Linked DNA regions of Caenorhabditis elegans. The protein of the gene in region 2 interacts with the protein of the main gene of each other region in a pairwise test. Each region holds a gene or a part of one and is shown on either strand. Other genes may lie near its edges.

Region 1 (6,659 bases), on a different chromosome or scaffold from region 2:
CGGGACAAAATTAATCACATGTTTTCGTATGAGTGATGGATCGTAAAAAATCAAGGAAATGTGAAATGTGTAGATTCAAAAATAAACATTTATGAGAACTGAAAAACTAGGTTATTTAAAGAAATCTCACAAAATTTCGACATGTTATATCATATTGTTATAGTATCATGATCATTTCAGAAAGAACAAAGCCAACCACGAGACAGTTGACGGGGTGGCGTCGAGTCGGAAACATTAAACAAGCGGCGAAGCGAATCTTCCGAACGAATTTCAAGACATACTGAAGAGCCACCAATGGAAAGAGAAGCTCGTTCAGTTTCGGCTCAACCTCGTCAAATGGGATTCCGTGCCAAAAATCGTATCGGATTGTCGCCGAATACGCTTTTTCCGTATTGAAATCGGCTCGACGCCTCTTATCATTTTGCTCCTTTTTTGAAGTGCCTTTTGATTATCACTTGTGTAGACATAAATATCTACAAATTGTTCCTGATCAGCCACACATACACTTTCTGTTCCGTTTATTCAAACACGGTTAAAAGAAAAAAAAATCATTTCAATCAATAAAACTCTCATTACATCATTTTTTCGTTAACACGAAAGTTTTGGGGAGGATGATAGTAGAAGTGGAAAAAGCCATAGAACAAAACTTCGAAGAAAACCCCTAGAATACAAAAAACACCGCACAAAAAAGCTGGAAATAACTTAGTGTTTACTTATAAATCAGAAAGGGCGATAAACATAAAAATTCAATAAGTTATGTGATTTTGAAGGCAGAAATATGAAAACGGGGAGGGATGAATTGGGTGGATAGTTGGCAAAGGGAGCTTACGACAGGAGTGACCAGTAGAAATAAAAATCACAAAAAAAGACGAGTGCGCCAAAAACACTATAAATTACATAATTATTTGATAAGAAAAACATTATCACATTCCCATAATACTAATTAACAATTTCCCAAAGAATGTTAGAGAGTGACCGACACCAGATGGGTTAGAAAAAAACCTCTTTTTGGGGTGAAACATGAAAAATAAAATAATTATCTATCGATCGATCTGCTCTGAATCATTCGTCAAAAAATTGTGCATGAAATTACGGATGGAATGGGGACATTGATAGGACGGGAGGGGGGGGGGGGGGGGCTTAAATTACATACACAAAAAAATAACACTGATACTCAGTCTTTCTGATCTTGTTGGGCAGATCGATCGACTACCAGTCAATCTTCCTCGTCTAAATTTAGATCGTCCATATTCAGGTCTCCATTTTCAGCATCTCCAAAATCTTCATCTGACCATTGCGTATCATCTTGGAACTGTAATTGGATTAATTGATTGAATTTTCGCAGTTTATATAATTTTCAAAACATTTATAAATAAATACTTACATCTTGAGCAGATTGTTGTGAAGACGCGGAAACCAAATCTGGAGCGGCGGACCCCCGTGGTGGGACAATATCAGGCCGGCTTGTCTCAAGAACAACATCAGGAGTTTTAGATGTTCCATGAGCATCGGCACTTTCTTGATTCTGAAAATAAATTGGTGATTCTAGCAACGAATAGTCAAATTCCATATGAATAAAAAACTGTTCAAAACGTACAGCTGGAACATGCACCTCTTGCTGATCATCATCGAATTCTTCCTGTTCTTCCTCTTCTTCAGGTTCAGGTTCGCGGATCGGTGATGGCTCACGAATAGGGGATGGCTGGCGTACAGGCGAGGGTTGACGTGCAACTGATGGAGGAGGTGGAGCTTTCAATTGTGTCTCGGTTTGTCTTGGGGCATTCTTAAGTACTGCTTGGCCATCATCAGTAAAAGAAACTGCTCCCGAAGCAACAGCTTCATCCAATTCCTCTTGAATATTCCGGGTAGCAGCTGATGGCACTCGAACGGATGCTGGGACTGGAATCTTGGAGATCTCACGAACGAAAGATTCTGCTTTCAGTGATTGGGTAAATCCAGGGAACAAGTTTTCATACTTCACTGGATCGGCAAGAGATTCTCCAATCTTTCTGCTACTCTTTTCGCTGTGTCCCGAAGCCTTGGCTTTCCACAATTCAAGAATAGATGAAACTCGAGACGGCGCATGTGTTCGAGCAAGGAACGCTGCTTCTGGGAGGCGACCAGTCGAAATAAGTTTGTCTAGACAAGCATCAATATCTCCAAGAAGCAAACTACTGAGGAAGCTGATATTGTGGCTTTCGGCAGCAGCAGAGTCATCCGCAAGTTTCTGAAGAAGAGGAGCTGATCCGGCACACGTTGCAAGAAGCATTAGACCTCCGAAATCGCGAGCTCTTCCAAGACATTCACCAGCAAGAAGAAGTTCCGACTTAAGAGTGGCGGCGTTGCTGAGAGCCTTCCATTTCTCTTCTGAATCGCTTTGCAGTGCCAAATCGTAGGCAGTCTTCAAATCTCCAAGAGCTACCGAGAGATCGAATCTGAAAACGTTCCAAAATTATTGCTGAAAAGCTGAAAATTGTCTTACTTGTGATCAGGGTCTTGAGAGACCGCAAGAGCCTGCTTCTTGAATCCTTGCTTTTCGAGGAAATGAGCAACACGAGTTCTCTGCTCTTTTGGAATTGTAGTAAGTACCTTGTCAGCAGTATCGAAGTCACGGCGCATTACAGCAGTTTGATATTCAAGAACAGATAGAAGAAGTTTGTATGAGATCACGTTGAGATCCTTATCGACGGCATAGACTCGAGATTCCTTAGCCATGTATCCCAACTAAAATATTTAAGTTTTAAAAATGATAAGAACAACGCATGTTTTAAAATCTCACCAAATAAAGTGGTCTATCAACATGAGCAATAGTGACAATTTCTCCACCGACATAATAGTTGATTCTATTGAGTGCAGTGGTGAAAATAAAGCAGTCCCCGATCCAGAATCCCGTCTTCACAGCTTCTGCCTGTTCTCCAATAACCTCAAACGCGTCTTCAATACCGTCTTCGGTCACTTCTGTTGCATTGGCAACTGCTTCAGCACTGTACTTGAGAACGTAGAATGAATCATCTCCACAAATTGCGACCATCTCTCCGTTGTCACTCCAATAGATGCTCTTGGAAGTAATTTCGATACGACGAACAAGAACGGCTGATTCCCAATCAAAGAAGCACAAAGAGTTGTTCGATCTGAAACAAAAAATTAAATAAAAGTCAATTGATAAGAGTTCAAAAACCTCAAGGCAAGAAGTGGTCCACCAGAAATTCCCTCAAGTACCATATCTGAACGAATTGACTTGTGATCCTTGAAGTTCTTCTTTATCTTCACATTGGTGGCAGATTCACGGACAGCAAACATATTTGGATCAACAGCCCAGACAAACTCGAGTCCTTGTCCGAAATCCTTGTTTCTGAGAGCCATTGCAGTATAAACAATGTATTCTCCGTCACCACAAGCGACAACAAAACGTCCATTAGATGAATGAGCAAGGGTTTGTGGATAGATTTCAGAAGATCCGAGATCTTTTACAGAAAGCGGCAGACGTTCTCCATCTGTAAATGAACTGTCTTAGAGTGATAATAAATGAACACAATTTCTCTTTTTTTAATACTTTCAGAAAACATGTGCCGAACTATACAAAAGTCGAATGAAAGTTTTCCAAACCTTGAATGGCTTCCGACTCTTCAGTTGAGATTGTCTTCAGGTTAGCTTGCTGAATTTCGGAGTGCTTTGCCCACAAAATCTTTCCAGACGAATCCATACTGACTGCTGGTTCTTCTCGGCCTAATTTCAACGTGACGGAACCTTCGTCGTATCCGATGGCAATAGTGTTGGCTCCTTTTTGAGCTTGGATGCACCAAACACGTTCCAACCCATAATTCAAGGTTGTTTCCAGTCTAAAAATTTTAAATTGTTGTTGTGGAAATCGTACTTTAATGTTCTTGCCTGTAGGTGTTTGCATGCCACAATCTAACAGTGGAGTCTTCGGATCCTGTGATTATCAATGGCAGTTCTGGGTGGAAACAAACTGAAGACACATTTTGCGCATGTCCATCGAGCGTTTGCACACACGTTTTATTCTGAAAATATCATTTTGGATGAATGCAAAGAGAAAAAAAACTTACTTGGTAATCCCAAATCTTGACCAGATGGTCATCAGCTCCAGAAATAATGTATGGTTTCTCTCCACCATGATAGTAATCGACACAGTTGACTCCTTTCTCGTGTCCTTCCAAAGTGAAATTCGGAACATTCGATCCGAACTGCCATACTTTGACAGTTTTGTCAAGAGAAGCAGTTGCAAAAGTGTTATTATCTTTTGGATTGATGGCAATCTGCATGACATAATGAGTATGCCCTTCGAATGACTGTTTCATTGCCCATTTGTTATCCCAATCCCACATTTTAACAAGCATGTCGTCGGATGATGAAATGACGTAGGGAAGTGTTGGATGAACAACGAGCGATCGGAGATAATCAGAATGTGCTTCGAATTGATGAACTCGTTCCAATGTGTTGTAGTTGAAAACTCTAATATGCATATCGTCAGATCCCGTGACAACCCAGCTCTTTCTTGGAACGAACTTCGCTGCACGAACTGGTACGTCACACACCTGCAAAATTTAGATTCAGTTATTTCGTAATTTCATGAAGTTTGCACATAAATTTGAAAAAAAGCTTACTTCAAATGACTTTACAAGCGTTTGTGTTTCGTAATTCCAGATGTGAACATTTCCATTGTAAAGAGCAGCTAGAAGCCATGTTTCGACTGGATGCAAGTCGACACATTTCACGCGGTCCGAACGAGCCAGAAGCTTTCTTTTTACATCAAGTCGGAGAGGCATCTTGTTCTGAAAAAAAGCTAAAATAAATAAACTCAATGTAAAATTAAGCTGAGCACGAAGAGGAAGATTTGCAAATAGTCAGCTTATAGAAATAAAATAAAACCGAAAGAACATTCAAAAATCGATAATATTCTGGATTTTTAGAATTCAGATGTTTAAATCAACCGAAATTAATCTTTTTTAGAAGAAAATCTTAAAATTCATCAAAAGATACGTTGGCGAAACGATAGAACACTCAAAAGGTAGAGGCGCATCCATCGCCAACTCAGAAAGCCCCGATCGTATCGAGACCACAGCGGGAAAGTCGGCGTGCCTTTGACTTTTTTGTCTGCGTTTCTCACATTTGTGAGGTGTCTCTTACGAACGGTGGCTGCTTCGTGGCAGATTTTATAAATAAAATTGCATTCAGGAAATGTTGTAAAATGAATGAAAAAAAATTACGAGAAAAATCAACTTTTTTTGAAACTGATAGTGAAGTTGTTGAATGTTTATGCAAATTTTGCTCTGGACAACCTTAAACGTTTTAGATTTTTCAAAAAACTCAGTTATATCTTAAAATCGAAGAGGCCCCCTTTGCAGCCTTAGTTTTACCTGATTATGGCAATCTTCTTGCTTATTGTTGTGTTCTCCACAATGTCCAAACCAAGAGCAATATTATAGTAGAAAGAGTACTCGATACGAGTCAGGAATAATAAGAATAACCGATTTTGCTCGTTCTTTTTGTAAATTATCAAGAGAATTTACATAAATTTAGCTAATTATTTATGTAAAATGTGTGTGTGTGTGTGTGTGGAAATGGTATGATTCTTATAATATTGACAACACAATGCTCAAATACAAATAATCAAAACGTAATGCAACAACTGGTAGAAAATAAATAGCTTTCTGTGGGACTTCAAAAATATGGAACTTTTGGTCATTTTCGTTGTGGTTCCATGGTACGAACCCATGTTCATACAGGGTGGGCCAAAAGTATGGTAACACATGAAGCGCTCTTTTACATGAGATTTTCGCGCGACTGCCACGTCATACGTACATTTTTCTATCGAATACTGATAGCTGAATAAATTTCCTTCAATTTGACCCAAAATTTGTAATGTTTCCCAATAAGGTGCGATTTTAATCACCTCGGCAATTTGGCGAACCCTTTTTAAAACGGCATTTTGGCACGCGGCACTTCCCACACAAACGCACCTCCCACGCACGCCAATAATTTTCAGATGTATGATTTTTATGTTAAATTGAAAGTTAAAGAAATGAAGAAGCGTTTTTGATTGTTTTTGTAGCATATAAAAATTTTCTGTGTCGACACTGGCGCCTAGCAAGAACCTTTGAATATTTCATGAATTAAACTTTCCGAAATTTACTCAGTTTTTTTGGTTTCACAAGGCGTAACGACCCACAAAATCAGCAGAGCTAATTTTTTTCTAAAAATTCTGAAAATTCAGGTCAAACCGTGCCAAAAAGTACTAAAATGAATACTGGTGCCGCCGCTCACATCCATCTTTCTGGCGACTGTGTCATTCAAGACCTAAACTACTGCCACAGTCCGTACAGAAATACCACGATAGAAATTTTTTGGATTTTTGTTTTTAAAGAATCTCCAGACCAAGAGCATTCTTTGAACTATAAAAACTTGTAAGATACTTGATGGATTCCTCGAGAAAAATGTAGAAATCCCGCAGAATGCCGACTTGCGTGCCATAAAGATCGTGATCTCAAAAGTTCTGAAGGCCTGCAGCAATGCGGATGGGGATATTTTGAAAATTCAAAACGTTAATCTGGTCAGTATTTTATGGAGAACAAAACTTGTACACATTGATGTAATAACTCCCTCCACACGTGAAGTTATAGAGCTGCAAACGTGTTACC
Region 2 (8,024 bases):
TGTCGACTTTGTAGCTGGAAATTTCAAAATTTTTAATTTAAAAATTCAAAATTTTGAAATAACCTACATTTTCGCATTATAAATTATCGATGGCAAGTTGATATCAGCAATTGTAAGCTGATCTCCAACACAATATTTCCCAGAATGCTTCTTCAAAAGTTCTTCGAGAGCTAAGAATCCCTTGTTCACAAAGTGATTGCACCACTGAAATACATTTTGAACTATCGGGAAACGCCTCTTGGAACCTATTGCGGTTTGATCTACAAAAAATGCGGAAATTTTTTTCACCGATAAAATGTGACGTCAGCAGCACGTTCTAGAAGTCTGCGTCTCTTCTCCCGCATTTTTTGTAGATCTAGGTAGATCAACCCGACATGGGACACTCTGACACCACGTGAGAACCCACAAAGTCACCGTATCCCGGCTCCTTTTCATTGAGCATTTTGTGGATATTGATTGCTTGAAGTGGCTGAATACTTGCGACTATCTGAAAAGAGCTCGCTTAGAGTTGTTAAAGAATGTTAAAAGCTCACATGAAGTGCGATAGCTCTTGAATACGATCTCTTATCCAATTCTTTTGGAAGGAACGGAGGATCCGGATAGGCTTCATCCAAATATTCGATTATTGCCAAGCTTTCTGTCAGTGATAAGCCATTTATCACTAAAGTTGGAACTTTTTTCGCTGGGTTGTGCTTGACGAACTCTGCATTGTTCTGAAATACAGCTATATTTCTATGGAAGTGGGAGTAGGGCAGGGGTGGATGGCAAATTGCCGGTTTGCCGGAAATTTTCAATTCCGGCAATTTACCGATTTACCGTTTGCCGAATTTTACCGATTAAAATTGAAATTCTGAAATTTCCAGAAAAAAATGTGCAAAACCACAAGTTGCCGAAAGTTTTCGGCAAATTGTGTTTTTCCGGCAAATCAGCGATTTGCCGTTCTGCCGAATTTTGCCAGAAATTTTCAATTCCGGCAATTTTCCAATTTACCGGAAATTTTCAATTCTAGCAATTTGCTGGAAATTTCAATTCAGGCAATATGCCGAATTTGCCGAAAATTTTCAATTCCGGCAATTTTCCAATTTGCCCGAAAATTTTGATTTTCATTAAATTTTCGATTTGCCGGAAATTGTAATTTTGGGCAAATTGCCGATTTACCGTTGCCAAAAGTTTTCGACAAATTGTGGTTTTTTCCGGCAAATCGGCAATTTGCCGCTAGGCCGAATTTTGCCGGAAATTTAAATTTCGGCACTTTGCCGATTTGCCGAAAATTTTCAATCCCGGCAATTTGCCGCTCTGGCGAATTTTGCCGGAAATTTTCAATTCCGGCAATTTTCCAATTTGCCGGAAATTTTCTAACCTTGGATTCTTCAGAAAATAAGTCGATTGGCCGGTATTCGTAGTCGATATTTTTCAGAGCAAGTGCTATAAATCAGTATTTTATAGAATTTCCAAGCTAAAATTACCGATGCGAACTCTCCAGGCACACGACGAACGCCAATATGAATATAAAATCGGTTTTGCCATGGAGTTAGAAGCTTCTAAAGAAGAAAATTGAAATATTTAAGCAATAAATGACATTTTGAGAAGAAATTAAATATGAACACGTGGGAAAAATCTTCAAAAACCCTAATTTTTCAGTTAAAAACTACTTTCTCCGAATAAAACCTCCATTTTCCTCAATTTTCAGCACTTTTTTATGTCAATTCCCACTTAAAATTCCCCTTTAACGGTCATTTTTCCTAAACTGTGCAGTTTCGCGTCGCCGTGTTTGCACACATTCCGTTTGATGCGCAGGTTTCCACGTTGTCCTCTTTTCTCCATTTTCTGTCTCTTTTAACGTGGATTTACCGATTTTTATCTCTGAAATTCTTAATTTTTATGGTATTTTTCGTAGTTTCTTTATCAATTTAATCGAAATTCCAAGTTTTTTCATTGATTTTTTGCATTTTTGTCTGTTTTTTTTAAACATTCTTATATATCCACGTGTCATTTCCATAATTTCAGAACCTTCATTCACGCCGAGGAGCAGTTTTTGACTGGTTACCGACTATAAATCGGATATCATGTCGCTCCTTATCAAATTTGAATCAAAATCCGCTAGGGTTAAAGGTAAATATTTTGGTTTTTGGCATTATTTTTCAATAATTTCCCAATTTTCCAGGAATTTCGTTCCACCCAACTCGGCCATGGGTGCTCACATCGCTGCACAGTGGAGTCATTCAACTCTGGGACTACCGAATGTGCGTTCTTCTCGAGAAGTTCGACGAGCACGATGGTCCAGTGAGAGGAATTTGCTTCCATCATGATCAGCCGATCTTTGTGTCTGGAGGAGATGATTATAAGATTAAAGTGTGGAATTACAAGCAGAAACGCTGTATTTTCACACTTCTCGGACATTTGGATTATATTCGTACCACTTTCTTCCATCATAAGTATCCATGGATCATTTCTGCGTCCGACGATCAAACGGTTCGGATTTGGAATTGGCAGAGCCGAAACTCGATCGCCATCCTCACCGGACACAATCACTACGTCATGTGTGCTCAATTCCACCCAACCGAAGATCTTGTGGCTTCTGCCTCCTTGGATCAGACCGTCCGTGTTTGGGATATTTCTGGACTTCGGAAGAAGCAAATGCCTGGTGGAGGTGCTCCAAGCCGGCCAACCGGAGGGCAACAAGCTGAGCTATTCGGGCAACCTGATGCAGTTGTGAAGCATGTGCTAGAGGGACACGATCGTGGAGTCAACTGGGTTGCATTCCATCATACCAATCCAATTCTAGTCTCGGGATCCGATGATCGTCAAGTCAAGATTTGGCGTTACAATGAGACGAAAGCCTGGGAGCTCGACTCGTGCCGTGGACACTACAATAACGTCTCATCTGTGATCTTCCATCCAAATGCTGACTTGATTCTTTCCAACTCGGAGGATAAGTCGATTCGTGTGTGGGATATGCAGAAGCGTACCAGTCTTCACGTTTTCCGACATGAAAATGAGCGTTTCTGGGTTTTGGCCGCCCATCCAAGCTTGAACATGTTCGCCGCAGGACATGACAATGGAATGGTCGTTTTTAAAATTCAAAGAGAACGCCCGGCTTATTGTGTCAGTGATAATTTGGTTTTCTATGTGAAGGGACAACAAATTCGCAAGCTCGATTTGACAACCAAGTGAGTAGTTTGATGCCAAGAAAAGTGTGCCGCAAAATGCATTTTTGCACAGAATTAGCGTTTTTTTTTTGCGAAAAAAAGCGTGCGAGAGTTGCGAAAATGCATTTTCCGGCGCACTGAATCATGTTTTTGTGGAGTCTCAGTAGTTTTTAAATGAAAAACTTTAAATGTGCCCCATTAAGCGAATTTCGTATTTAGAGCCTCCAAAAAATCGGAAAAAAGGCGTAATTTCAATAGCTAAATTCTCCAACTTCCACTGAAAATAGCAGAGTTTTTTTTGAGATTTATCAAATTTTTAGCTTTTCAAAAAATGTTTTCTGCTTTTTACGAACAAATCTTTTGTTAAACAATGAAAATCGAATTTAAAATGACTAAAATTAACTTTTTCCGTCCACTGGTTGTGAAATGGGTTGAAATTGAAGAAATCAACGGGATTTTTCTGATTTTCTGAATATTTTTCTATTAGAAATCGGTTTTAAACCATTTTTTTTTACTAAAACCGATTTTTAATAGGAGAATATTTAGAAAATGAGAAAAATCCCGTTGATTTCTTCAATTTCAACCCATTTCACAACCAGTGGACGAAAAAAGTTAATTTTAGTCATTTTAAATTCGATTTTCACTGTTTAACAGAAGGTTTGTTCGTAAAATGCAGGAAAAAAATTTTTAAAGCTAAAAATTTGATAAATCTAAAAAATCTGTTATTTTCAGTACGAAGTTGGAGATCTTAGCTAAATTTAGAGCTTTTCTCCGGAAATTTTGAGGACTCTCACTACAAAATTCGTTATTTTTTGTACATTCAGAGGGGATGTACAAGCAAAAACCCCTCTAAAATCAAATTTTCAGCAAGGATGTTGCTCTGTGCAAGCTCCGTTACCCACAACCATTCATGCAACCATACTACTCTCTTTCCTTCAATCCTGCCGAGGGAACCTTCCTTCTCACAAGCCGTACTCACAATAAGGATCTATGCGCCTTTGAGCTGTACAAAGTTGCCAGTAACTCTGATGGAACCACTGAAGCTGCGTGCGTCAAGAGCACCGGAATCAATGCACTTTGGGTTGCTCGTAATCGTTTTGCAGTTCTTGACAAGGCTCAGAATGTGTCGTTGCGTGATTTGACGAACAAGGAACTTCGCAAACTCGAGAATATCAACACGGCTGTCGACGATATTTTCTATGCCGGAACTGGAATGCTCCTTTTGAGAAATGATGATGGGCTTCAACTGTTTGATGTTCAGCAAAAGATTGTGACTGCTTCAGTGAAAGTGTCGAAAGTTCGTTATGTGATTTGGAGCAAGTCTATGGAATTCGCAGCTCTTCTTTCAAAGCACACGCTGACCTTGGTCAACCGTAAATTGGAGATTCTGTGTACCCAACAGGAGTCGACTCGTGTGAAGAGTGGAGCTTGGGATGATGACTCGGTATTCCTCTACACCACTAGCAATCACATCAAATATGCAATCAATTCTGGAGATTGTGGAATCGTTCGTACTCTGGATCTTCCTCTGTACATTCTGGCTATTCGAGGAAACGTGCTCTACTGCTTGAATCGTGACGCTACACCAGTTGAAGTTCCAATTGATAATTCTGATTACAAGTTTAAGCTTGCTTTGATTAACAAACGAATCGATGAAGTTGTCAACATGGTTCGATCCGCAAATCTCGTCGGTCAATCCATCATTGGATATCTCGAGAAAAAGGGTTACCCAGAGATTGCTCTTCACTTTGTCAAGGATGAGAAGACTCGCTTCGGGTTGGCAATTGAATGTGGAAACCTGGAAATCGCGTTGGAAGCCGCCAAGAAGCTCGACGAGCCAGCAGTCTGGGAGGCTCTCGGAGAGACTGCTCTTCTTCAAGGCAATCATCAAATTGTTGAGATGAGCTATCAACGAACGAAAAACTTTGAGAAGCTCTCGTTTTTGTATTTTGTTACTGGAAATACGGATAAGCTTGTCAAGATGATGAAGATTGCACAGGCTAGAAATGATGCTCACGGACATTTCCAGACAGCTCTCTACACTGGTGATGTTGAGGAGAGAGTTAAAGGTAAAAATGTGCAGCTGGATTTCAGAAGGGGGCAAAAGTCAAAGTTTTATTGATTTTTAGCTCCTCTTTGCGTATTTTTTTCGTGAATTTCTGCAAATTCTAGACGATTTTGAAATTATTGAACCTAAAAATGGTCCAAATCTACCGAATATCGTCATGAGATTTCTCAAAAAAAAATTTGGAAATCTACCAATTTTCAGCTAAAATCTCATATTTTGCCAACTTTTCAGTTTCGCAGCTGACGGAACTTGATTTTTATTCAATTATCGCTATTTAATACGTATTTTGGTCGTTTTAACGAATAAAAGTGTGATAGACGACCAAAATATGTATTAAAAAGTAATAATCAATGACACACTAAAGTTGGCAAAATTTGAGATTTTAGCTGAAAATAGGTTTTTTTCCAAATCTCAAAACCGCCATAACTTTTTTTGTGAGTTTTCAGAAACTTTTCAGGATTTTTCATGACGAAATTCGTTACTTTTTGGGTCATTTTCAACAAAATAAAGTATAAAGTTAATTTTTCAGTGCTCCGAAACTGTGGACAAACTTCTCTGGCCTACCTCGCCGCAGCCACTCATGGATATTCTGCTGAAGCTGAGGAGTTGAAGGCTGAACTCGAGAGTCGTCAGCAACCAATCCCACCAGTTGATCCAAATGCTCGCCTCCTTGTCCCACCACCACCAGTTGCTCGTTTAGAAGAGAATTGGCCACTTCTTGCCTCGGCTCGAGGAACTTTCGATGCACAGCTTCTTGGATTAGGAGGACAATCTGCTCCAACTAATGTTGGCGGTGTGAAGCCTGCTGCTGCTGCCTTTGCTGTTATGGATGATGATGTTAGTTTATTGATTTCTGAGCTATCTGAGCTATAAAATATTAATTTTTGCAGGATGGTGATGTTGGAAATGAAGCATGGGGAGATGATGAGTATCTTGTCGGAGAAGATGGTGAACTTGATGTTGATGAAGGAGAAGGACCAGTTGATGGAGATGAGGAAGGTGGATGGGATGTGGATGATGATCTGGCTCTTCCTGATGTTACCGATGATCAAGGTGGAGATGATGATGAGGAAGTGGTTCCTAACCCAGCTCCAGCTGTCTCATCGGAATGGCCGAATGTTTCTCGTCTTGCTGCTGATCATGTTGCAGCTGGTTCATTCGGAACTGCCATCAAGCTTCTTCATGATACAATTGGAGTCGTTGAAGCAGCACCATTCAAGGATGTATTCGTGAAGGCTTATGCAGCTTCTAGACTCTCACATCGTGGATGGGGAGGACTCGGACCAGCTGGACCAGTGTCCATTCATCCGGTTCGTAATTTCCAGGAGGATAAGAATCATCTTCCAGTCGCTGCGTTCAAACTTTCTCAACTTGCAAAGAAACTGCAAAAGGCTTATCAAATGACGACGAATGGAAAGTTTGGAGATGCTGTCGAGAAACTGCGGGAGATTCTTCTATCTGTTCCACTGATCGTTGTGTCTTCGAAACAAGAAGTCGCCGAAGCGGAGCAGCTCATCACAATCACACGGGAATATCTTGCAGCACTTCTCCTTGAAACTTATCGAAAAGATTTGCCAAAAACGAATTTGGAGGATGCGAAACGCAACGCCGAACTAGCTGCCTACTTTACACACTTTGAGCTTCAACCAATGCATCGTATCCTGACACTGAGATCTGCTATCAATACTTTCTTCAAAATGAAGCAAATGAAGACTTGTGCATCACTTTGCAAACGTCTATTGGAGCTCGGTACGTGCTTGCGTTGTTGATTTTTTTAAATTTTATTTCTAATTCTTAATTTTTTTTTCCAGCTCCAAAACCAGAAGTTGCTGCTCAAATCCGAAAAGTGCTGACTGCCGCCGAGAAGGATAACACTGACGCGCATCAGTTGACCTATGATGAGCATAATCCATTCGTCGTGTGCTCTCGTCAATTTGTGCCTCTTTACCGTGGACGTCCACTCTGTAAATGCCCGTATTGTGGAGCATCGTACTCTGAAGGGCTCGAGGGAGAAGTGTGCAACGTGTGCCAGGTTGCAGAAGTTGGAAAGAATGTTCTTGGGCTCCGAATCTCAACTCTGAAGAGCTAAAAGTTGTGAAATATGATAATTTTTTCGTTTTTTGTGTGATATTAATTATTGTAATTTATTTGCCTTGTTCTTCCACAATTCCCATTGCTTTTGGTCCCTTCATATTATTTTCCCGTTGGGCGGCGGTTCATGTTTTCTATTTAAATTATGTGTTTTTAAAAATTATTTAAACCCCACAGAAAGATTATGATTGCATGCTGGTCTATTTTATTTGAATAAATCATGATTTTTTTACTTTTTTTCATTTATCTTTGGGGTAAGAAAATGTTCTCTAAATCAGTAATTTACATGGAGAAATTTGCTCGAAAAAATTCAAAAAAAATACAGTAAGAAAATTGTCGTAAAGTCTAGGGTTTTGGTATTGCGGACTACGACAAAATGCACACAAACCATTTTGGCACCGGAAAAAGGCAAAAGCCAGGATTTTATCGCGTTTTGGCTCATTTTTCTTGCAAATTTCCATGGAATTCAGTTAACATATACCTAATTATTCAGTTATTTCGAATTAATCAATAATTTTCAGTGAATTTCGCAATTTCTAAGTGGTCCAATGATGTCTGTCCACATATTTCCTTGAAAACTGATTGTTTTATCGGAATTTATTGATTTAAAATAATATATATAATAAAATCTGAATTTTAGAATCATTTTTGACGTGGAAAAGACCCGAAAAATCCAAAAATCACGAATAAACTGAACAATTAAGGTATTAATTTTT
Region 3 (4,628 bases), on a different chromosome or scaffold from region 2:
CTCAGAGAAAATTACAAGACGACATGTTGAAGATAGATGAGCTGATCAATGAAATCAGCACTAATCAGCTGGCTATTCTCTATCTTATAGCTTGTTCTTTCTATGCGGCCTGCGTCTCTTCAAATCCCTGCGGGTCGAATGTCACAATTCACCATCTCCTTTTCTCTTTCTTGCTCCATGTGCTTCTTTCTGTCCCCAGACTGGACCTTCTTGTGCTCTCCCACCCACACCGCCATCTTCCTTTCTCTCTTTGCCCCATCCTCGACTATCTGTATCTTCTTCGTTCTCACTTTTTATACTCGAGACTCTGTGGAAAAAGACACAGAAGACACACCAATGGCGTCAAAAATCTTTTTTTTTAGTTTCCCTCTGCCGGACACGATGCACATAGTTTCGGTGCGATTCTCTCAAGAGGATCCCCCATAATTATTTGTCACTCTAAATCTCAAGCTCTCTCATCCAGTTTTCATTCCCAATCTATCCATCTCCCTGTCACACTGAACTAGTGGAATGAATGTCAATATCATCAATCTGGACCACTGTTTTCATCTGTCTCGTTCAATTTTTTATCCCCGGGAAAAGCTATTATTTAGTGCTTCATTCCGTGTGTCTTGAGCTCATGGATACTTTGAAGACCTCATCTTTTTTGATTGAACAAACGTGACAAGACAATTTTATGAATTCTTAGAGAGTGTGTGTAATTTTAATTGCTTGCAGCATGCTTGACAGCTGCACTTACTGTTTTCCTTGAAATACGCAAACTTTCACTGATATGCCTAATTTTAGAAGTGTATTTTTGAAATTCAAAGGAAAAACTTAAAATTTACTTTCAAAATCTTTAAAGTAGCTGTTTTTATCAATCTAGAAAATGTCACTACAGATAAAAATATTGTATTGATATGTGGAGTCTTTTAATTGTGCTTTTCGTGAGTCAATAATTAAGATTGCATTTTTAATTTGGCAACAATTTAGAAATTTGTTATCTGGCAAATATGTTCTATGATACCGTAACTTTCTCAGATAACTTTAAGATTATTTTTTTGTCCATAACCTCTGTTCTCAACTTTAAGACATACAGTACCCCTTATACACAGCTCCCTTTTTTTGTTATTTTGAATTTTCTCTTCAACTATTCCCATTTTTGTCGGTCTTTTTCCAATTTACCCCAAAAAGTCCATCTCATCAAAAGCGCTTCAAGTCTTTTAGTTCTTATCCCCCATTCCTCTTTAAGCTCTTGAAACACAAAAAACAATTGCAGAAGAAAAGAAAAAAAGCAATTAACTAAGAAAGTGCACTCATCACAACTCTTCTTCTCGGTTCTTTTTCTGTCTCAATTATTCACGCAACAACGCTTACATGAAGTAGCAGTTTTTCGAGTGATTCTGACATTTCTATTCATTTGTTTCAAGTTTATGATTATTTTTAGATCCAAGTTTTGAGCAGATCCCGGAATCCTAGCATTCATCATTCAAAATGAAAACCACGAGATTTCAAAACAACTTTTTTCATTTCACCTACTCATAAATTCCATTCCGATTCAGTTATTGCTTTATTTTCAGAAATTTGGATTCTCATTTTCTTATTTTCGCTTTCGTTGGAAATAATATTCCCAAAAAATTTTCAGCCTTCATCTAGTGGCTCGAGTATCAAATGTCCAAGTCGGTGTCGATACCACAGGCACTGTCCGACTTGAAAAGGACATCCTTGAGACGGTTGAGCAGTGCACGTGGTGTTGGAAATAAGAAGACCGTTGTGAGCACTTCGACGCCGTTGAGTGGTTTTGTAATTTTGGTTGAACGAGAAGAGAAGGTTGTTCGGCTGTACGGTAAGTAAAAGATAATTTTATTTGACTAATTTATAAAAACATTTTGAAGTATTTTTATTGAAATAATTTGCAATTTTGATGAATTTTTACTGAAATTTTGTCAACGAACATTTGTACTAATGCGATTCTCCAAATCGTTGATGGCATCGGCAAAGTGGGCGTTTTTTTAACCTATATCGCAATTTTTTTCGCTTTTTTCAAGGTGTCTGGAAATCAGATATAAAGTGCTTTACAAATTTTATGCAGACTTCTGAAAAAATAATCGATTTCCATTACAGGAACTGCTGCGGAAAGAGCAGGATTGAGCATTGGAGATGAAATCGTTGGGGTAAATGACATGAAAATAGAAGGAAAAAGTTATGAGGAAGTCACAACTTATATTCAAGAAGTTTGATAAAATTTATGATACTTTCTTGCAAAATTTCAAATTTCAGTGTATTCGTCGAAAAATCATTCAGCTGAAAGTTAGACGTCGTGCATTAGAAATTCCAGCAGAAAATGAAGCTTCTGTTTTTAACTGTGAGTAAAAAAAAGTTTATACTTTTTCCTTTTTAATACTTAGTTTTTGTTTAATTTCAGGCACAAATTCGAATCGTATGATAACGGATGCATATCTAGTTTCCGTGGATAAGGATCATATCAAGGAAGTTACTAAACGGCTGAAAAAGTGAGTAATCTTTTTTTGAGAGAGATTTTCTTCTCTGCGATACTATCTGTGAGAAGCGGAACGTGTAAAGAACGGAAAGAAGAGTTCTTAAGTGCTCTCTATTTATGGTATATGCATAAACAGTGAATATATGACAAATAGTGCAAATACCACTAAGATTTGGTTTTTGGCAAATCAATGTTCTTGAAAAGTTCTCATATTTATTTCATTTCACTTAAAAAATTCATCTCTCTTCATTTTCTTTAAAATCTTTGTTGTTCACTCGTCGACCTGCTTTCTAGAAATTAATTAATGGCCTCGAAACTTTCTGACGGGCAGGGAAACACAAAAACACTGAGATTATGAATGTGAGCTAATTTGGAATTCTCGTTCGTCCAGTCTTCACAACTATATAGGTCACATTCTAGTATTTCACACAGTTAGTCGGCACGTCTAGTATGTCACAAACCAATAATCTGTCAAGGTGAAGACAAAAAATGGAGAAAAAAAAAGAGAAAAAACGGAGAGTTCCGTCGTCAAATATATCAATAAATCTAGTGATTAATCAGTCAACCTGGCGATTCTTTTTTATGTCTCCCTGATATTCTATTTCACAGTCAGTGGCATTTTCAAGTAATAGAACCTCCCATTGCGCTTATCACACTCATTCTCTCTTTCTCATTCCTTTTTTCTTATTCTTTCATCAACTTTTTAAATGTTTCTGTCTCATTACACTATTTATCAAAAAACTATCATCACTCAAATTCTGTGTTCTCTTCGTTTCGAAGGTTGTCTGACTTGTGATAATTGCAGGTTGTTAGGGTTTCAGAACGTTACAGTTCTTTATTACAATTTACTACGCTTTTGAGATTTTTTGTATGTTCACAGTTAGCTAAACTCTTGCCTAGCTTTGGAATAACATGTTACTTTCAATTTATTGATTCTTGTATGTTTTGAAAAGCAATGACTTTTAGCACCCTTTTAGCACGACTGAAACTATCAGAAAAAGATTTTATACAGCTGCAGCTAAAATTTCAACACACTTTTTCAAAGGAAATGTTCTGCAAAACTTTAATTCAATCGTCAAAAATTGAATAAGGAGCAACGACTGCCGTTCTCTCAAATTACAAAGAGTCACAGAATTTTATTTTCGGGGGAATACCTTTCCAAAAATGGGTGAAAGGTCATAACGAATACATCAAACTCCAACACATTAGACACACATTGTTATTTATTGACATAAACCATTTATTGCTTTCCATTCGTCTCCTCACTTTTCCTTGTCGACAATTGTCAATTGCACCGTTCTTTCCAAACCCAAAAATTTAACAAATAATTATTGAATCCGTTTACACTTTCTTTTTTTCCATTCAACCCTAACCGTTCCTCTTTTTGTCATCATTGTGCAAATTTCATGCATCATAAATTTTTGAGGACGGTACGGTTTTTGTGTAGTTGTGGATCGGTTAACTGTTTGGTGATGGACACAGTTATCGCGACTTTAACAAAATTTTGCTTTTATATTTGTTATCAAGTGGCAAATTATTTTAAGTTATCATTATCAGTGGAGCAGAAGATATTTTATTACTTTTCTAATGTTTCGAAAATTTCAAGGAGTATAGGAATAATTTGCAATTTTTGGAAATATATTGGGTTCGAATTCTAGAAATTAGTCTGTATAATTTAAATATTGTTGATTCAAAAATTATTTTTTCAGCTACTATATGTAATATTCATTTTTAGAACCTTTCATTTTCTTAGTGTTTTGCTACTTTCCCGATATGTCTCATCATTGCTTAAAAATATTTATACATCATAGCCACCACCTTCTAAATCGTGGTTTTCATAAATATGTATTTGTATACATCTTTTCCCCAATAGGAAGGGATGCGCAAACGGGACCTCAAATGTAAAGCTGGTGATGAGCAAACATAAAAGTAGAAGAAGCGCGCACGAAAGATGATGAAGATGCAATACGGACTGTGTGTGAACAACTACAATACCGTCTATTGTTTCGACCCTCACTCACTCTCACCTTCCTCTTTTCCCTCAACCTGCACCACTTTGTATACAATTGTCATGAAGAGAGTCAGGCTGAATGGGGAATTATTCTAGGACTAGATTTGGTTGATGTTGGGTGACCAGCATGGTTTTCCA
Region 4 (7,756 bases), about 12 Mb from region 2:
GGTCGCCGCGCTCGCAGCCTTACATGGAATGAATATTCGGAATCTTTTGGTTGGAAATTGGGAAGAAGAATGATGTTAAATTTGTTTTTTGCTATTTTTTTGTTAAATTATATTGAAAAATTGTTTGTTTTTGCTATAATTTGCATTTAAAATCGGTTTTATTCCATTAATTATCGAATCCCCACTGCGCGCGCGGGGATGGCAAAACGCCGTGCGGCAGTTGCAAATGGGCGGAGTTTGGAGAATTTAAAAAATATTCGAATTTATTTCGCAATTTTTAGAGATTTTCAGGCTTTTTTCAGAGTTTTCATGCGTAATTTTCACTTTAAAATGTTATTTAAGTGTGTAGGATTATAGAAATGTAATTTAATTCCGCAAATTTTGTTGAAAAACTTGGATTTTTGCAATTTTTGCAGATTTTTACATGATTTTCTTCTAATTCTCCTGTTTCAAGTCAATTTTCTCTCTAATTTTCCAAATTTTCAGGTAACAAAATGACTGACTACGGAGATGCTGATAAATACGTCAACGACGAATCGATCGAGATGGCTTGGGCGATCAAAGCCGGCGAACGGTCCGAAGTTCACATGAATCTGATAATGCGGTGTGACACTCGGGTTCTTCGGCTCAACAAGCATCAGGATGCGATTCTCGCCGCATTTCGAAGCTCATTCCCCGATTTGAATGTGGAGGAGGTGACGACGAGTTTGCTGAAAGACGGCGGAGCCAAGGAGACATGGCGCGAGTTTTGTGAGCAATTCAAGGATATCGTCGACGATTATTCAATGGGAACACTGATGAGAATTCATGCTTCGAAGGCTTACAGTCCGGAAAATACTGTGGTTGTTCCAAGAGTTAGTGGGACCCAAATTGGAAATTTTTGTGATTTTCAGCATGATTTGTAGCTAGAAATTGCAGTTTTTGCGTTTTTAGCCCAGTTTTTAGCTAGAAAACTCAGATTTTGTGATTTTCGGCATGATTTGTTGCTGGAAATTGCAGTTTTTAGCTTAAATTTTTGGGAAAACTTCAATTTCCAGCCAAAAACCCCTCATCCCTCATTTTCCCATACAAAATCGATCGATAATTAATTACAGATCATCTACCTGGCAATCGAGATGGCACGCAACGTGGAGGGTGTCAACGAGAAGAATAAGGAGGCATACACGGCTCACCGCAATTCGCTCGCCTCCTTGTAATAATTTCTCTCGTTTTTTTTTTTGAATTTTTGTTGATTTTTCCCCGTTTTCTCGTTTTCCACCCTGTCGTTTGTCTTGTAGTTTGCATATAAACCGATTTCTTCGTTTTTAAAAATGATTTATTTCCAATTTCTCGAGTTTTCCAGCTCTTTTTACTTATATTTTTGTTTATTTTTTTTCCAAAAATTGATTTTCAGATATTTTTCTCTAAGAAATGTCGATTTTGATGAATTTTTCTGTGCTAAAATTGACTTTTCAAAATTTTCTCATAGACACGTGGGATAAATGCCCTAAAACTCAATTTTAGCCTGAATAATTCGTGATTTTTGATAATTTTTCATCGGAAATCGAATGTTGGATGCTAAAAACGTTTCTTTGGCAATTTTCGAATCCCCACCGTTTTTTCTCCATTAAAATCTGGATAAGCATCTCAAAATTCATGAAAAATCACTTTTTCTGTTAAAAAGTGTTTTCTGTGATTTCTGAGCGAAATTGTCAAAAAAAAAAAGTGATTTTCGCTTCGAAAATTCGAATTCCCGAAGGAAAAACCATCAAAAACCTCTGTTTTTGAATAGAAAATGTCTAAAAATCAATAATTTCCCAATTTCTTTTCTTTCTTCTCCATAAAAATTTAATTTTCCAGAAATGTCGCTTTTCGGTACAAGTACCACGGCTCCAGCTGCTTCAACAACACCTCTTTTTGGCTCAACGGCTGCTGCTGCTCCAAAGCCTGGAGGCCTCTTCGGTGCGCCTGCTGCTGCCATGTCATCAGGGCTCTTTGGAGCATCTCAGACAGCTCCTGCACCAGCTTCTGCAGGACTTTTCGGCTCAACAACTGCTCCTACACCTGCTTCAACGTCTTCAGTTCCACTATTCGGTTCGACAACAACCACCGCATCACCATCTGGAGGACTTTTCGGAGCCAAGACAGCCACCACAGCAGCTCCCGCGCCGACTGGTGGGCTCTTTGGAGCATCAACGGCTGCTCCGGCGACTGGAAGTCTGTTCGGAAGTACTGCCCCGGCTACTGGAGGTCTTTTTGGCGCGAAATCGACCACATCGGCGGCTCCGACGTTGGTTTTAGAGCTTTCGATGCATCTAAAATTGAATTTTCAGGCTTGGAGGTGGACTTTTTGGATCGAGCACGGCTCCGGCGGCGGCGGCAACGACATCATTTGGAGCTCCACCAGCGACTGCAGCTGCTCCATGTTAGTATAGATGCTGGAGCTTCTTTTTTCTCTGTTTTCAGCACAAAAATTCCATTTTTTGCGAATTTTCAGCTCTAAAATGCTTTTTTAAATAGAAAATTGCCACTTTCAACTCCTTATTTGGAAATCCTATTTTTCGCCGAATTTCGACAAAATTTTAGTTATCAAAACTAGCGTTTTTAATCTGAAAATCGGACATTTTCAGCTCAAAAGTGTGTTTTTAATCGAATATAGTACGATTTTTATGTTCAACAACGCTAATTTTATAGAAAATTGGAAAATTTTCTAACAATACATCAAAAATCCTTATTTTCCTCCTATTTTTCAGCCAAAAATGCGTGAAAAATAAGCAATATCCATTTAAAAGCTTTATTTTGTCGATTTTTCTTCAAAAATTGGCGTTTTCCGGCAATTTGGCTATTTGCCGGTTTACCGATTTGCCGGAAAAAAATAAAATTCTAAAATTTCCAACATTAATGTGCAAAACCGCAATTTGCAGGAAGTTTTCGGCAATTGCCGCTTTTCCGGAAGATTCGGCAATTTGTCGGTTTGCCCATTTGCCAGAAATTTTCAATTTCGGCAATTTGTCGGTTTGCCGGAAATTTTCAATTCCGGCAAATTCGGCAATTTGCCGGAATTTTTCAATTTCGTCAAATTTGCCGGCTTGCCGATTTGCCGGAATTTTTCAATACCGGCAACTTGTCAATTTGTCGGTTTTCCCATTTTCCAGAAATTTTCAATTCCGGCAATTTGCCAATTTGCCGGAAAAAATCGTTTGCCGCCTTGAGATTGCGCAGCCTGAAAATCATTTTGTTTTTCAGTGGGTCTCGGCGGAATCCAGCAACAAAACAGCAGTGGTGGTGGGCTTCCAAATGCTTCAGGAACTGCCACGTCATCACTCACAGGCACCGGAGACTCAAAAGATGCCTCGAAAGACGGTGAATGGACACAAGCGGCCACTCTAATCAGAGATTTACTCCCATTGATCGAGGATAAATTCAAGAAAAATCGAGAATTTATGGAAGAAACCGAGAATATGTCAATTGACAACGTGGCAATCGAAGAACAAATCGATAAGACACGTGGATGGATTGAGGAAGTTCGACGGGATGTTCTGACGGCTACACAATCATCAGAAAGGATTGCATATCTTGTATCAACTGATAAAACACTTTGTGATACGACGAAACGAGTTCAAGAGCATTCTGGATCTGCAAATCAGACTACTTATATGAATGCTATCAAAGAGTTCGTTTTTGAGCTATTTTAACGCTTGAACGTCTTGAAATGACTTGAAAATCTAGAAAATTGGACAAAATTTAACAAATCCGTCTTTTTCATGAAAAAAAAACCCCAAAACCACCCCTGGCAGTTCAAAATATCGAAAAAGAGCTGAAATTAGCTGAAAAATCCGATTTTATAAGCTTGTAGTGACTGAAAATTGATTTTTCGCCAAGTTTTGCATATTTTCGTCGTAATTCACATTAAAAAAACGTTAATTCTTGATACTTTACTTTTTTAGACCCAAAATGACTCAAAACTGCCGAAGAATTTCGTTATGAAAATGTCTCAAAAAAGTTATGACCGCTCAAAGTTTTGGAAAAATGGTCAATTGTTAGCTAAAATCTCAAAATTTGGCAAATTTTCTGTGTTGCAGCGATTGGAACTTAATTTTTATTCGATTATCATACTTTAATGCATGTTTTAGCAAGTTGTTACGTGTTATTTCGTTGATTGAGATACTTTATCATATTTGTGCCGGCATCGACCGAAAAAGCATCTCAATCAACGAAATAACACGTAATAAATTGCGAAAACTTCCATTAAAGGATACAAATCGAATGAAAATTAAGTCACAACCGCTTCAACACTGAAAATTTGCCAAAATTTGAGATTTTAGCTAAAAATTGACCATTTTTTTCCAAAATTTTAAGCCGCCGCATTTTTTTTGAGAAATTTTTGAGAATTACGACTAAAATATGCAAAAGGGGGGATAAAAACTAATTTTCAGCCACTACAAGCTTGTAAAATTGGATTTTTCAGCTTTTTTTGGACCTTTTTGAGTATATTTTCTTGAGAAGGATGGATTTGTTAAATTTGGCTCATTTTTCTAGATTTTCGAGCGTCTCATAACAAAATTCGGTAGTTTTAGGCCATTTTTGATCTAAAATAAGACAGTATCGGATTTCGGCACTCCACCAGGGCTGGGACCAAAAACAAAAAACCAAAAAATTGATGATTAAGTTTATTTTTAATGTGGTTATTCTAGTAATGTTGAAAAATGTATCAAAATACATTTTTGACGTCACAACTGTTAAAATACATGTTTTTATGTATTTTAATACAGAATATTCTCGAAGCGAGAGACATTTTTTTTTTTGGATTTTTTGGTTTTGTGGCCCCAAAAAATGGATTTTTCGTCAAAATACCAGAAAAATCCAGAAAAGTTCCAGCCGCCCTGCACCACTCCACCTGTTTTTTAATTCCAACTATTTTGCAGACACCTCGCCGAGCTGTGCAATTTCTATGGAAATGATATGGACGCACTTCAAGAGAGAGTGAATTTCCTGAGAAATCGATTCGAGAAGCTTCTAACCGGTGAAAAATCGATAACAATGGAGGAGCTGGATGCATATTTTTTGAGATGTGATGCAAATGTTTCGAATGCACATCATCATGTCACTGAGCTCGGAAAAGAAATTGAAGAAATTCGAGATTTTCTAATTGAACAAGGATATACTCAATTGAGAAAATGGTCGACTACAGCTGCTTCAGCAGCAGCACCAATAGCTTCGAATTCTGAAATGATTGTTAGAGAAGGAGCCGAGTTCTTCCCATCACAATCTAGTCTGGCAATCATTGGAAGCTCGTTGAGAGCACCGGCTGCTCCGGCTCCAGCTGTTGGAGGGCTTGGATTGGGCACTGGAACCAGTCTTTTTGGAAATACTGGTGTGTAGAATTGAAGGAAAAAAAAAATTGTTTTTTTTTGGCTTTCTTGAAATCTATAAATTCAAGAAAAAGTTTCTTGAGCATTTTTTAAATGCAAAATTTGATGAAAAATTGGTTTTTTTAACATTTTTTGACGAGAAATCAAATTTGTAACTTGCAGTTGTTACAACCAAGGGTGTCGGTTTTTCGATTTTCCCTGAAAAAATCGAAAAAAATTTTCGATTTTTGAAATAAGCTTACAAAACAGCATCTCTACAACAAATCTTTTTTTTTTATCAATTTTCTTTGAAAATTACAAGAACCCAAAAAAATGCGTCAAAACTGCTTTAAAATCGTAGAAATTGCAAAAATTCCAAAGAAACTTTCTTTTTGTTACAAATTCGAGTTTTTTTCACTAAAATTTTTTCTAGTTTTCTCTAAAAAACCGATTTTTTTGAAATTTCATCGGATAAGCATAGATGTCAGTTTTTTTTTCAAAATTTTTGTTGTTGTAACCAAGGGTGTCATTTTTCGATTTTTTCGATTTTTCGATTTTTCGATTTTCACTGAAAAAATCGAAAAAATCGAAAAATCACACCCTTGGTTACAACAACAAAAATTTTGAAAAAAAAACTGACATCTATGCTTATCCGATGAAATTTCAAAAAAATCGGTTTTTTAGAGAAAACTAGAAAAAATTTTAGTGAAAAAAACTCGAATTTGTAACAAAAAGAAAGTTTCTTTGGAATTTTTGCAATTTCTACGATTTTAAAGCAGTTTTGACGCATTTTTTTGGTTCTTGTAATTTTCAAAGAAAATTGACCAAAAAAAAAAAAAAAAAGATTTTTTCCAGTCTTCCGGCAAAAAAGGTTTTTCTTGCATTTTTGACGGAACAATTTTTTAAAAAAATTATTTTTTTTTTGTGAAAATGGTTTAAATTTTCACGAAAAATCCAAAAAAATAAAGCCTATTTTGTAGTTTTCAGAAAAAAGTATTTGTTTTCTGCAATTTCTGCAAAAAATTTTTTATTTTTTTAAAGAGTTTTTCGGTATTTTCTGAAGCGGTAAAATAATTTACGAAAAATCCAAAATTGATTATTCGATGTTTTCTAAATGAATTATAGTGGATTTTTTGTCGAAATTGCAAAAAAAAATCTCAATTTTTCCGACAAAAAATTCAACTAATGAAATGAAAACTCTAAGCGTTCAAAGTTAAAAAATTTTGTTTTTTTTTTCGTTAAGTTTCTCGCCAAAATTCAACAATTTTTCATCGAAATTGTGAATTACCAAAAAAAAACAGTTTTTTGTCAAAATTACAACAATAGTAGAAATTTTTTTAATTTTTCCGCGAAATTGCAAGAAGGAACAAAAAATATAGATTTTTCTCAAAATAATGAGAAAAATCGATATTTCCGAACCAAAAAAGGATTATCGTCAAAATTGGCAATAAAGTCCAAAAAATCTATGATTTTTAAAATCTAAACCTTCAATTTCTCTCAGGAACAACTTCTCTTTTCGGATCAACGGCCACAAAACCAGCTTTCTCTGGAGGATCTCTATTCGGTGCAACAACTTCTACTGCAACATCCTCAGCTGCTGCCACCACCACAACTCCGACTACATCACTCTTCGGATCAACCAAACCAGCCACCACAACTACACCATTTGCATCGACTGTTGCTAATAATTCCAGTGGTCTTTTGTTCAGTTCAAAGAAATAATTATTTATTTTTTTATTTCATGATGACTGGTTTTATTATTTAATTTGTGAAATATTTATTTTTTCTGATCTTTCTTTCGATTCCTCACGCTTTTCCTGTTCTTACCCTATTCTTACATTAAGCTTATTCGATTTTAATTTTACATTGTCTCTACACAGCAAATTTTCCCATGAAATCTGATTTTTTGTAAAATTTTTGAATTTTTCATCAAAAATTAAGGTACTATAAGGGTATTGAAGGATTACTGTACGGGTACTGTAGGGATACTGTAGAATTATTGTAGTTTGGGAAATTTGAATTTTTAGCTTTAGTAGAGGTATTTTGTTGGGAGTTGGTGGGGATGATGTTAAGGTACTGTAAGGGTACTGTGGGCTTACTTTAGTTGTTTTGTATGATTACTGCAGGCTAAAAATTGACCTTTTTCAGAATATAGTAGTTTTGAACATTTTCAGGAAAATTATTTTTTTGCCCAAAATAAAAAAAAAGGACAGTCATTAGAAAATTTGGGCAAAAATAAAAAGTTGTCTAAATTTGTTGAAAACGGGTAATTCATACATGCAAAATTCAGAAAATCTAGGTTTAGTCCGTCAAAAACTATTAAAAAGTGGCAAAAATGGCCAATTTATGGCAAAAATTCACAATTTTGAAACTTCACTAAAACGGGCAATTTTGTAGTTAGAGGACTCAAAATTGATTTAGGATCA

Evidence for each region.
Region 1: the proteins of copa-1 (region 2) and copb-2 interact in a two-hybrid assay, tested with the Caenorhabditis elegans proteins (one large-scale study listed by BioGRID).
Region 3: the proteins of copa-1 (region 2) and magu-2 interact in a two-hybrid assay, tested with the Caenorhabditis elegans proteins (one large-scale study listed by BioGRID).
Region 4: the proteins of copa-1 (region 2) and npp-4 interact in a two-hybrid assay, tested with the Caenorhabditis elegans proteins (one large-scale study listed by BioGRID).

Annotation. Positions count from the first base shown.
Region 1 is NC_003282.8:9,457,865-9,464,523, reverse strand, and holds copb-2 (putative coatomer subunit beta'), read right to left. Parts: upstream 4,794-6,659; 5' UTR 4,788-4,793; coding exon 4,626-4,787; intron 4,557-4,625; coding exon 4,068-4,556; intron 4,023-4,067; coding exon 3,889-4,022; intron 3,840-3,888; coding exon 3,607-3,839; intron 3,495-3,606; coding exon 3,179-3,494; intron 3,132-3,178; coding exon 2,780-3,131; intron 2,725-2,779; coding exon 2,483-2,724; intron 2,436-2,482; coding exon 1,598-2,435; intron 1,526-1,597; coding exon 1,385-1,525; intron 1,313-1,384; coding exon 1,217-1,312; 3' UTR 504-1,216; downstream 1-503. Other genes in the region: F38E11.6 (Adenylate kinase), read left to right, coding at 181-210. UniProt on the Caenorhabditis elegans protein: The coatomer is a cytosolic protein complex that binds to dilysine motifs and reversibly associates with Golgi non-clathrin-coated vesicles, which further mediate biosynthetic protein transport from the ER, via the Golgi up to the trans Golgi network.
Region 2 is NC_003279.8:2,894,844-2,902,867, reverse strand, and holds copa-1 (Coatomer subunit alpha), read left to right. Parts: upstream 1-2,007; 5' UTR 2,008-2,066; coding exon 2,067-2,112; intron 2,113-2,164; coding exon 2,165-3,170; intron 3,171-4,016; coding exon 4,017-5,218; intron 5,219-5,746; coding exon 5,747-6,054; intron 6,055-6,107; coding exon 6,108-6,966; intron 6,967-7,028; coding exon 7,029-7,306; 3' UTR 7,307-7,539; downstream 7,540-8,024. Other genes in the region: gst-43 (maleylacetoacetate isomerase), read right to left, coding at 1-14, 68-204, 407-487, 534-713, 1,361-1,425, 1,467-1,527.
Region 3 is NC_003283.11:8,798,019-8,802,646, reverse strand, and holds the start of magu-2 (MAGUK p55 subfamily member 5), read left to right. Parts: upstream 1-1,618; 5' UTR 1,619-1,650; coding exon 1,651-1,825; intron 1,826-2,103; coding exon 2,104-2,213; intron 2,214-2,259; coding exon 2,260-2,344; intron 2,345-2,404; coding exon 2,405-2,492; intron 2,493-4,628.
Region 4 is NC_003279.8:14,700,606-14,708,361, reverse strand, and holds npp-4 (Nucleoporin p58/p45), read left to right. Parts: upstream 1-1,839; 5' UTR 1,840-1,841; coding exon 1,842-2,269; intron 2,270-2,312; coding exon 2,313-2,404; intron 2,405-3,225; coding exon 3,226-3,652; intron 3,653-4,904; coding exon 4,905-5,353; intron 5,354-6,831; coding exon 6,832-7,052; 3' UTR 7,053-7,240; downstream 7,241-7,756. Other genes in the region: dus-2 (DRBM domain-containing protein), read left to right, coding at 1-73; Y54E5A.5 (Polysaccharide biosynthesis domain-containing protein), read left to right, coding at 495-854, 1,095-1,196.